2 linked regions of the Macaca fascicularis genome follow. The protein of the gene in region 1 binds, or shares a complex with, the protein of each later gene. Links are inferred from orthologs where the notes say so. Each region holds a gene or a part of one and is shown in the gene's direction. Other genes may lie near its edges.

The links.
Region 2: the proteins of KIDINS220 (region 1) and XPR1 are in contact, whole or in part, in a cryo-EM structure (PDB 9JXQ), measured with the Homo sapiens proteins. The link is inferred for Macaca fascicularis from reciprocal best matches to the Homo sapiens genes KIDINS220 and XPR1. Residues at the interface, in NP_065789.1 of Homo sapiens: Glu36, Cys37, Gln39, Asp70, Trp72, Met102, Trp105, Trp110, Tyr113, Lys114, Val138, Ile142, Trp143, Gly146, Arg147, Ser166, Asp167, Lys168, Tyr169, Gly170, Trp176, Arg179, Lys180, Gln198, Glu199, Gly200, Ala201, Ser203, Lys234, Arg267; in NP_004727.2 of Homo sapiens: Leu95, Lys189, Lys190, Gln193, Glu197, Ala200, Asn204, Glu205, Ala636, Asp637, Asp638, Leu641, Leu642, Gln644, Met645, Met646, Asp647, Gln648, Asp649, Asp650, Val652, Arg653, Asn654, Arg655.

What each region holds. Positions count from the first base shown.
Region 1 is NC_088387.1:113,305,333-113,310,619, forward strand, and holds part of KIDINS220 (kinase D-interacting substrate of 220 kDa), read left to right. Parts: intron 1-2,530; coding exon 2,531-2,695; intron 2,696-3,673; coding exon 3,674-3,853; intron 3,854-4,585; coding exon 4,586-4,751; intron 4,752-5,287. UniProt on the Homo sapiens protein: Promotes a prolonged MAP-kinase signaling by neurotrophins through activation of a Rap1-dependent mechanism. Provides a docking site for the CRKL-C3G complex, resulting in Rap1-dependent sustained ERK activation.
Region 2 is NC_088375.1:38,122,042-38,128,063, forward strand, and holds the start of XPR1 (solute carrier family 53 member 1), read left to right. Parts: upstream 1-2,013; 5' UTR 2,014-2,211; coding exon 2,212-2,280; intron 2,281-6,022. UniProt on the Homo sapiens protein: Inorganic ion transporter that mediates phosphate ion export across plasma membrane.

The sequences.
Region 1 (5,287 bases):
TAAATAATGAATGTTCCATTAAAAAGTATGGAAAATAAGGCCAGGCATGGTGACTCATGCCTGTAATCCCAGCACTTGAGGAGGCCGAGGCAGGAGGATTGCCTGAGCGCAGGAGTTTGAGACAAGCCTGGGCGGTACAGTGAGGCCTCATCTCTACAAAAAATTTAAAAAAGAGCTGAGTGTGGTGGTGTGCCTGTAGTCCTAGCTTCTTGGGAGGCTGAGGTGGGAGGATCTCTTGAGCCAGGGAGATGGAGATTGCTGTAAGCCAAGATCGTACCACTACACTGGGTCTCCCTCTGTTGCCCAGGCTGGAGTACAGTGATGCAGTCATAGCTCACGGCAACCTCAAATTCCTGGGCTCAAGCGATCCTCCCACCTCAGCCTCCTGAGTACTTGGAACTACAGGCCCATGCCACCACACCCAGCTAATTTTTTATTTTTTTTTGTAGAGACGAGGGCTTGCCATGTTCCCTAGTCTGGGGCCAAGCGATCCTCCCACCTTGGCCTCCCAAAGTGCTGGGATTACAGACATGAGCCACTGTGCCTGGCCATGATTCTATTTTTTTAAGATTTTTGTATTTTAAAATATTTTTTCTTATTATAATAGTAATGTGCACTAATTACATTTCAGGAATGAAAATGTAAGTATAGCAGAAAGTGAAAATTCCCCATTATCCCCTATCTCCCAACTTGTAATTGTTTAAATGACCCTCCAGGCTTTTCTTTATGCTTATAAAAATGTTATATACTATATAGTTTTAAAAAATAAAAATTGAGTTATACTATGTTACAAAAGCTTAATGTATCATATTTTAATTATTGCATAATTTTTCATCATAGTACATTGAGTTCTCTGTTGGTGAATATTTAGTTTTGCTAACAATTAGTGCTGCAGCGAACACCTTTGTACATATATTCGTTGACTCTTATTTCTAGGATTTTTTTTCTTTCTTTTGAAAATAGTATTAGAGATTCAGGGGGTACAATTAGGATTATTTTCTTAGGGTAAATTCCCACAAGTAGAATTCCTAAGTCAATGGATGCCAGTAGTTTCGATACGCTTTCCAAAATGGTTGTAAAAATTTCTTCTCCCTCTGGCAGTGTAAGATACCACAATTCCCCACAAGTTTGCTAGCACTGGGTATTTCCAGCCTCTTACTCTTTGCAAATCAGATAAATAAGAAAAAAAAAATCTAATTTCAATTTGTGTTTTAAAATTATTAGTGAAATTGAGATCTTGTAATATATTTATAGGCTATTGCTTCTGAGCCTTTTGGCTTAGATAATATGTAATATATTCATAGGCTACTTGTATTCTTGCCAGTTTCCTTTTAGTATCCTTTGTCCACTTTTTAGTTTTCAATATTAAAAAAAAATTGATGTAAGAGTCTTTCTGTGTTATGGATATTGATCCTGGGTGTGTCCTATGTGCTGCATTCCCCTCTCCTCAGCATACTCTTGGTTGATGGTCATGGATTTTTATTCCGCATTCAAAAGTTTTACATTTTTGTAGTTAATTCATTAGTCTTTTCCTGCAGTTCTGGCCTTAGTATTACATTGAGAAAGAAAAGCCTTTTTAAACAAAGATTTTTAAAGTTTCTCCTGTATTTTCTTCTATTACTTCTATGGTTTTACTTTTTTCTACTTAATTTTTTAATGTTTCAGAAAATTTTGTTAAGGCTATGAGGTATGTAGCATTTTAATTTAATTTTTTTCATGAATGATTAAACTTTCCCAACACCACTTACTAATTCATCCTTTCCTGCCTTATTTGAAATGCCACTTATGTTAATATCCTATATGAGTTCCAGAATGTTCAAATTATTGTTTTACATTTTTATTCTCCAGTGACAACTACCCTTCAGTAGTCTTTATTATTTTTTTCCTGTTCTTACATGTTCTTCTTTCCTTTCAATTAAAACAAAATTCTCATGGGTTTTTAATTAGAACTACCTTGAAGTGACAGAATAATTTGGGAGAATTGCTGAACCTTTCTGCTTGGAATCATAGAATGTTTCTTTTTCTCTTACCTATTATGCTCTTCAGTAACATTTTGTAACTTTCTTTGTATAGGTATTACACATATTAAATTTATTTTACATACTCATTTGTGTTAATCATCATATGTTACTGATTCTGAAATGCACACTGTTCCCATAATTTAACATCTCTGAAATTGGTATGTGTCTTGTAAGTGATGGACAAGAAAGCATGATGTCACAATTTGGCAGCATTTTGTTCTTTCTTAGTTATATATAAAAAGATGTATCTCATAATTAATAGGTATCTTAAGTTCTATGAAATATGATAGTAATTTAAGAATCTCTGAAACTTTTTTTTTTAAATTTTAAATCAGGTAGCCTTCCAAGTCAGAGTAGGCTCAGAGACTCCCTGAAACTGTCTTTACATGGTTATAAACATTTGAAATAATTTTTTCCTTTCTAATCAAGTAAACAATAAATGAAAATATTGTTCCTTTCTAATAGTAATTCCACTGTTTAACGTAAGATATGATGTGTTTTAATTACAGGACACTTATCTCCTACTGAAACAGATGGTGACATGCTTGGGTATGATTTATATAGCAGTGCCCTAGCAGATATTCTCAGTGAGCCGACCATGCAGCCACCTATTTGTGTGGGGTTATATGCACAGTGGGGAAGTGGGAAATCTTTCTTACTCAAGAAACTAGAAGGTAAAGAGCTTGCTTATACAAAGTCTGTATATGTAAAACAAGGTTTTCTCTGGGGATTTTTCTGAAATAAAGAGGAAGACCGCTTTCTGTATGAGCATGTGTGTTACACGGTTTACTGAGATGAACTCCCCTCTGGTTGGTCCTTCACATGGTCATTTGAGTTCTCTTTCTAAAGCAGATCCAGTTGTGTGATAAACCTACATAAAAACCCTTGCTGGCAGGTTTTTTTGGGCCCTTCACAGACTTGTCAGTTTGCATGGTCCCACCTGCCAGTACCACCTCTGGCATGTGCCCCAGCTTCAGTCACAGAGGACTGTTTGCTCTTGCAAGAACAGACCAGACGTGTTTCCCAGGTTGCTCCCTCTATAAGCAGCTTCTTAGCTGGCCTCACTACCACCCACCTAACACGTATGCCTTTTGCTTGGCAAAATCTTGCTCGTTCTTCAAGGATAGGTTTCAGTATTACCTGTAAAAATTTCCCAGAGTTTTGTACAAAGAATAACTTGTATGGGGCTCCTTTGGGCTCAACATGTACCTTTAAGCACAGTATTCTCAATTGTGATTGGAGGGAGAAGGGATGAGGACGATCACAGTGGAATGGTGGTGACATGTAGTTTGAAGATATAGAGTATTATTTTTGCATGTGGAAACAATATGCATATGCGTAATGTTTGTGTTAATGCAAACCACAAAAAAATCTCAAGAAAATGACAGGTGGGAGTATATGAGAAGGGATTTCGTACATCCTCCACGTGAAGCAGGAGAGGGTGGTGATCCAGGCCTAGCTGTGGTCCTGGGGGTGAGATGTTCATCTTGGCAAGAGAACACTGGTTAAAATGGTTAAGTAGCAGTATTCTATCTAGGGACCTAGTAAAGTGCCCAATAAATGTTTACATTGAAAATGTGAAAACTGCAAATCGTGTTAAAAGTTGTGTTTCTTAAAACAGGAATAAGGTTTCATACTAAATTATCTTTCAGATGAAATGAAAACCTTCGCCGGACAACAGATTGAGCCTCTCTTTCAGTTCTCGTGGCTCATAGTGTTTCTTACCCTGCTACTTTGTGGAGGGCTTGGTTTATTGTTTGCCTTCACGGTCCATCCGAATCTTGGAATAGCAGTGTCATTGAGCTTCTTGGCTCTCTTATATATATTCTTTAGTAAGTTTTTGCTTTTTATCTTTTTCAAAAATGGAGAAAATGTTAAGATTCATAGATAAAGAAAAAAACATTATCTGTCTTTGAAAACCTGTATGTGATTTTCACTAATAGGGTGAGAAAATTGACCTTTTTGCTACTTCATAAATTTTCCTAAAGAAACATTACTCACAACTTGGCGGAAGTAGCTTATAAACTAATTCCTACTTGTTAATCTTGAAGTAAGACCCTAGATTATTATACTTACTTTAATTAATGATTTATATTTAAATCTTTTTTCTGAAAAGAGGGCTTCTGAGCCATCACGGTGTGCTCTTGAGCATTTTGACCATGGCTGTACTTTTAATTTTATCTAAAAGCAAAGTAAAAAAATATAATCCCTATTCTTGGGGGTGTCTTCAGTTGCAAGAAAAGAAATAGATTTACTGTAAGAGGAACTGATAACCAACTTTACCAGTTGCAAATAGTGATAAATCCAAAGTCATTTGCATTAGAATCTGAACTGCAGTTATGTTTCTGTTTAAGGCATATTTTAGTCAGTTTACTTTTCATTTTTTGTATCTACTGTATCTTAGGGGAGGTTAATGGAATTCTTTGAGGAGTAGTTAGGAAATAGTATGGGACCATAGAAAGCTATGTAAGCTTAGCTGTCATTGCTTGATATTTGATCTTTGGAGAAAAGATCTGCTTGACTGATGACTGCTTTGGATAACTTTTTTAAACTGTGAATTTCAGTTGTCATTTACTTTGGTGGACGAAGAGAAGGAGAGAGTTGGAATTGGGCCTGGGTCCTCAGCACTAGATTGGCAAGACATATTGGATATTTGGAACTCCTCCTTAAATTGATGTTTGTGAATCCACCTGAGTTGCCAGAGCAGACTACTAAAGCTTTACCTGTGAGGTGAGTTGTTCCATTTGACAGAAGAAATCTTCAGTGAGATTCAGAAAAAAATATTTTTCACTTCAAAAAATTTATAGGGGCCGGGCGCGGTGACTCACCCTTGCAATCCCAGCACTTTGGGAGGCCGAGGTGGGCAGATCACCTGAGGTCAGGAGTTCGAGACCAGCCTGCCCAACATGGTGAAACCCCATCTCTACTAAAAATACAAAACTAGAGGGGGCATCATGGTGCATTCCTGTAATCCCAGCTACTTGGAAGGATGAAGCAGGAGAATCGCTTGAACCAGGGAGGCAGAGGTTGCAGTGAGCCAGGATCATGCCATTGCACTCCAGCCTGGGTGACAAGAACGAAACTCTGTCTCAAAAAAAAAGTTTATAGAGTATAATTTCTCAATGTATGTTCCAGAAAACATTGGTACCTGGAACCTTTTACATACAAAAATAAAAACATGCCCTGGTCAAATACTGTGGGAAACACTTCAGATTATGTGTCCCTCTTGTACGTTAAAGGATCAGAGGCACCTTTCCATAAAGAAA
Region 2 (6,022 bases), on another chromosome or scaffold:
CCTCCCGCCTCAGCCTCTCAAAGTGCTGGGATTACAGGTGTGAGTCACTGCGCCTGGCAGGAAATTTATTATTAAATCTTCTTCTGTGGATGAATTAAGATTGTCATGTCCTAGGTGGCAGGGCTCTGGATCAGGCATGAGAAAAATCAAGAATTTTAGAGTGAGTTTTGAGGGTTTCCTTACTTTCTTGGGTTGGGCCATGGTTCCAGAATTTTGTGCACAATTAAGGCATGGAGGTATGGTGCTGCTGGGAGCAGTGTGCCATGGTCCACCAGGGTTGCTACTAGGAATTTCCCATTCTAGTCCATGACTGGCTAAAGGCAGGAATCTCTTTTGTAGCTGTCCCTGGTTCCCTTTTCCCAGGCGCAACATACAGCCATTTCCTTTCTGTGGTCTCGCCTTCTTCCTGGTAGCACAGACATTCCTTTTTGCTTGTTTCTTTCTCCTGGCAAGGTTTACCTCCAGCAGAGGGGAATCTTGATGGTGAGCAGAGGGAGGTCTGAGGTGAGAGGAGTCCTCACTCTTCTTCCTTTATTTTTTTGACCTTGATTACCTTTTCACCAGAGGTTAAGGCTTTTATACAGAAAAAGCCAGAAAGACTCATAGTCTATGCCTATTTTCCATCTTGTGTCATCCCTGTCCTGGGAAGTGATTGCAGAATCCCTATTGGCATGAATAAAGGGGAAGGGAAAGGGGGAAAGTACATGGAGAAAAAAAAAAGACAGCAGAGAATGGTATCTCAGAATACTGCTCCAGGCATAGTAGTTCCTTAGTAAATCTTGAAGTCTCATCGAAATTGTGAGGGTTAGGCTGAGCAAGGTGGCTCATGCCTGTAATTCCAGCACTTTAGGAGGCCTGGGTGGGAGGACTGTTTTAGCTCAGGAGCTCAAGACCAGCCGGGCAACATAGCAAGAACCTCATCTCTCCCAAAACTAAACAAAAAATTAGTTGGGCATGGTGGCATGCACCTGTATTCCCAGCTATTCAGGGGGCTGAGGTGGGATGATTGCTTAAGTTTGTGAGGTCAAGGCTGCAGTGAGCCATGATGGTGTGACTGCACTCCAGCCTGGGCAACAAAACGAGACTAAAAAAAAGAAACAACTGTTAGAACTAAGGGACAAAGTACATGTAAGAGGTTTAGAATGGTACTTGGTACAGGAACAGTGAGTGCTCAATAAATTATTATTAGGTCTCTTCCACCCAGGGCAGGACCTGGATTTCTGTCTTGAATCGGGACTTCCAAGACTGTCACTCCCACATTTAATGTAGTACAGAGCTCTGTGAGTGATCTCTGCCCAAGTTCCCCAGGGACAGCTCAGCCTGGATGCTGGGCCTGTTTCTGGTTTTACTGGGGTGGGCTTAGAGCTGTACTTCTAGGGGGTTGTCTTTCCTCTCAACATTGGTTTCCCTGCCAACCCTCACCCCCAACCCCAGGAAGCTCAGTTTTACAAGTGCAGTTGGTACCCGCACTTGGTGTTTTTATTGGCCTTTCTGATAGCCCCGGGACTAGACAACTACATTGAAATTCAGAAATAGCAAACACTTTTTGTCATCGATGTCTTTAATTAAATTCAGTGAGCATTTATTGAGCACCTAGAGTATGTAAAATACTGTTCCTTTAAATACATTTAGTTCTGAACTATCTGTTTCAGCTTCTTAGTTTGGATTAGTGCTGATCCATTTCTTAAGGGTTTTATGAAGAATAAATATCAAAATGGAAAAATATTTGCACAGTTCTTTGTAAATATAAACGTCTTGTGTGGATTATTGTTGCTACAGTATTAATATTAATTGCAATAACAACACTGCTGCTTCCCAGACTGGAGGTACAGAGCAGCTGTAGGCCAACAGGAGCCAGACTGAAGAGGTCCGGGGAGGTGCCTCCAGCACGTACGGCCCACAAGGGGCGGAGTCTTAAGAAACGTATCTAAGCCCCACCCCTTACAGCACCCCCTTCGTCAGGGCGGTGTAGGCGGTTACCATGGCGATGACGTCTAGAGGGCGGGGAGGGGCGGGGCTATGGAGAGGAGGAGGAAGATGGCGGGCGGGCGGCTCTGAAGAGACCTCGGCGGCGGCGGAGGAGGAGAGAAGCGCAGCGCCGCGCCGCGCCGGGGCCCATGTGGGGAGGAGTCGGAGTCGCTGTTGCCGCCGCCGCCGCCGCCGCCGCCTGTAGCTGCTGGACCCGAGTGGGAGTGAGGGGGAAACGGCAGGATGAAGTTCGCCGAGCACCTCTCCGCGCACATCACTCCCGAGTGGAGGAAGCAATACATCCAGTATGAGGTACCGGCAGCGGCTGGGGTGTGGGAGGGCTCGGAGGGGCCACCATCTCACCAGTCCTGACGTCCACCGCCGCCTTCCGCTTCGGCTGCCTCCCTGTGCCCGGGCAGACTTTGACCCGCTGCCGCGGGGAGCCACTGCGGCATCCCCGCCGCGGCCGGCCGCCTCCCGGATCCGCTGTCCTTCCCCTCCCCCGCAGCCCCGCTGCCGCCGGGGTAACGGATATGCAGGCGGAGGGCCGGGAGGAAAGGCGCTCCCCGGGCCGGGGCCGGGGAACGGTGGGAGGGTGAGCTGCAGGTGGGGGAGTCACGGTGCGAGGGCAGCCCCGGGTCGCACCGGTTCCGCGCTAATCCCCTTCTCCCTACTCGCCCTGACCTCTCGTCCTCACCCTGGGCGAGCGCCCCCTCGCCAAGGTTAGGTCTTGTTTCTTTCCACCTCTCACCAAGGAATCCTTCTCTTCCAAGAGAAACCCCTCCAGTGATTTCCTTCATTCCACAGAGCCCTTCGGCTTTTTCCCTCTTGCCCACTGTTGACAAAGGCTTTGTAACGGGGTTGAAACTTGACTTAAGTGTGTATCACATAGGCAGTGGTTATAGTTTTTGTAAACGCGTTGTAATCAACTATTCTGCTTTGATAATAAGACTCTTTACTGATTGCATGAAGTCTACAGAGTAGTAAAATCTTTGTTTTTGCCTCTTGTTTTGGAATGGAGAGAAGAGGAAGGAGTGAAGAGAATTATTTACATTTTTATATTTTCTGCTAAGTTTTTGCTAGCTGGGGAAATAATTAGTATATTGTAAACAATATACCTTACCTGTGTATTACGGGAATCGTGCTCCCCATTCCCTCCCAATTTCTGTGCTAACACTCCTGGAAGGTTAGATAATAAGGAATCTTGCCTTAATACAGGGAAAAATAAAGATAATGAACCCATTTATATGTTCAGAAGACAAGATACCTAAGAGGCTTTAAGCATTGCGGTAGGTTATTCCCAGTAGCTGGCAATTCTCAGTAGCTGAATAGAGAAAGACCGACTTATCTGTAACCTCCAGGAATTCACATCTATTTTGTGTGCAGGAACAAAGAATATAAAATCAATATGAACACACATAACCTAGCTAGATTTTATGAATTAAACTATTTTAGTTCTCCATTTGATTTTTATATAAGCTTAGTGATGGGATGTTTGGGCAATAGCAGTGAGTGTATTTATTCATATAGCCGTTGTAGTAATTGAAGAAGACAGAGAAAGAGATGCAGGTAGGTTAAACAGAATCTTGAATATTGTGAAATAAATTCACTTGCAACCTAGAGTATTTGATTATTGCTGGAAGTGAAAGGCCTGGAATTATTAATGCTTTATTGTCACTTAATTTCTTACAGTGTTTTGTGCCCATGCTTTGTAAGAATGAATGAAATAAGGGACTACCATTTCAGCCCGCAGAGTTGATTTATTGTTTCTAATAACATTCAGTTTTAAAACCTTGGCTAGAGTCCAAGTGATGGTTTTTATTGAAAGAAGGGTATTGGTCTTTCATCTTTCTAGTAGTGATTTTCAGCACCACTGCCAGTTCTTCATAGAGGCACAGGACAGGAGCATGCTGAAGCACATCTATATTTGTTATATAGCATGGAATGCTTTGGGCTGAAGTAATAGTGGCTGGATGTATGCCATGATTCGTTTTAGGTATTTCAACACTTAACTATTTCATAGAATTGTATTAATTTGCAATATCTGAAGCTGGAAGGAGAAGCATACGATTTAGTTTGAAAATGCAACCCTCTTAATTTGTAATGTCACTTTTGTGGCTGGAGGAACCGCAGTGATTCTTGGGCTCCTCGTTCACATAGTCACTTGGATACTGTTCCTAAATGTTTACTGTAGGTTGGTCACAGAGGGGCAGAGTTCCTGAGATTATGTTGTGTCTGAATTATCTTTCTCAGGCCAGTTATAAATTATGTTTTGAAAAATTCATTTATTCCGGATAATTGAAATTTGATTCTGCAGAGTTCCTACTATATGGCTTCTGTCCTAGATAAACTCATCGTTTGGTAGGCAAAATTAAATAAGGCGCACTTTTCTTTGTAAGTTGAAATCAACGAATATTTTGTAGGGTTGGAATCTCCGTTTTGTATGTTGTTTCCGAAGAGTTGGTGCTATTCCTTTAAAAGTAATAGACAGATGTAAACGAGAGTCTTTAGAGTTCAGGAATTTTAGCAGTTTAAAACTTTGGGGAAAAAGGACATCCATAAAAATTTGCTAGAGGAAAAAGGACCTTTTCACAGTGAATTAAACTGTAGTTTCTCATATGAGGATGATGCTCTTAAAACACTATCAGTAGAACAGATGCTGGGGTTTGTTTTTCAAGCACTGATGGTGAAATTTTGGTGTTTTACCCTTGGTTTCTAGCCTAGGGTGCTTTCTAGTGTTGTGAATCAATATGAACTGTTCAGCTTCTTTGGTTTTTGTGTCATTTTGCTATATTAAATATTACTTGAAATAAACAGAGAATTAGAATCTGAAAATTTTGTTTTACATCTATAATCATATTTAATTATATATAATATGTATATATGGTAATACAATAAATACTAGTGTTTGTATATGTTAGCCATGAGACCTGGGGACAATCTTTTTTGCCTTTCCCGGGCTCGTTCTTCCATAAAGTAAGTATATAGGGCCAGAGCTTTTCAAGGTTCATTCTAGGTCATGTTTTTGATTTAACTTTTAATGGTTTTTATTCCTTGAATTGATAAAATTGTTAATGGTAATAACCCATCAATATCCTGAAAATTATTATATTTTTTAATTGAAAAGTAAGTTGTGGTGTTCATAGATTCAGTCTTCATAGGCAGAATAATAAAGCATAAAATAATAGACCAACATGGAGAAGCCATATAAAGAAAATCTATTCGATCCATTTGTAAGTAATTTTTCCAAAGAATAAACACAAACAAACTGAGACTATTCCTGTTTCCAGTAATCTGTTTGAGTATAAATCTTGGCATATAAAATAGAACACTGGTAGATCTTTGTAAGAGCTTTTTTAAAATTTAGAATTAGTGACTATATATTTTAAAGCTCTGCAATTGATTTATCAAAATTAACTGAGCCTGGTTTCAACCAAATAGACTAATATGACCATGTTAATATTTTGCAGAATATTAGCAGAAGACGCAAATGTATTTGGTACCTTAGGCTGCTGACTTTCCCTAGGGCCTTGTGTTTCTTTGGTTTCTCGGGATCCATGAATAATTCTTTTCAGTGTACCCTTTGTTTTGTAATAAAATAACAAGGTTTCTAAATTACAGGATTTTGGAGCTAAAGGGAATTTAAAGATTATCTACCTTGTTTTTCCAGGCAAGGAAACTAAGGTTCAGAGGGGTTGAGCCACTTGTTTAGGAATATGTGTATGTCTCTTGAGCATGTGTAAGCATTGAGAGTCAGGTCACACTGTGTGATCCTGATGAAATCATTTGTTCTTTCAGCTAAGACACATCTTAAGTTTCTTTAATGTTAGAGAATTGGACTTGGTTTCTAAGCTCACAACCCCATATTATTTAAGGACTCATCCAGCTCTAAAATTCTGTGTTTTTTAATGGTTTAATTATGTTTGATATATGAAGAGGACAGAACTTAACAGGACTATTAATAGCATCCTTTAAAATTAATAATATCCTTTCAAAAATTTTTGATATTTTGATCTGTGAATAAGATGTTAACCCAGTGAAACTCTCATATTTA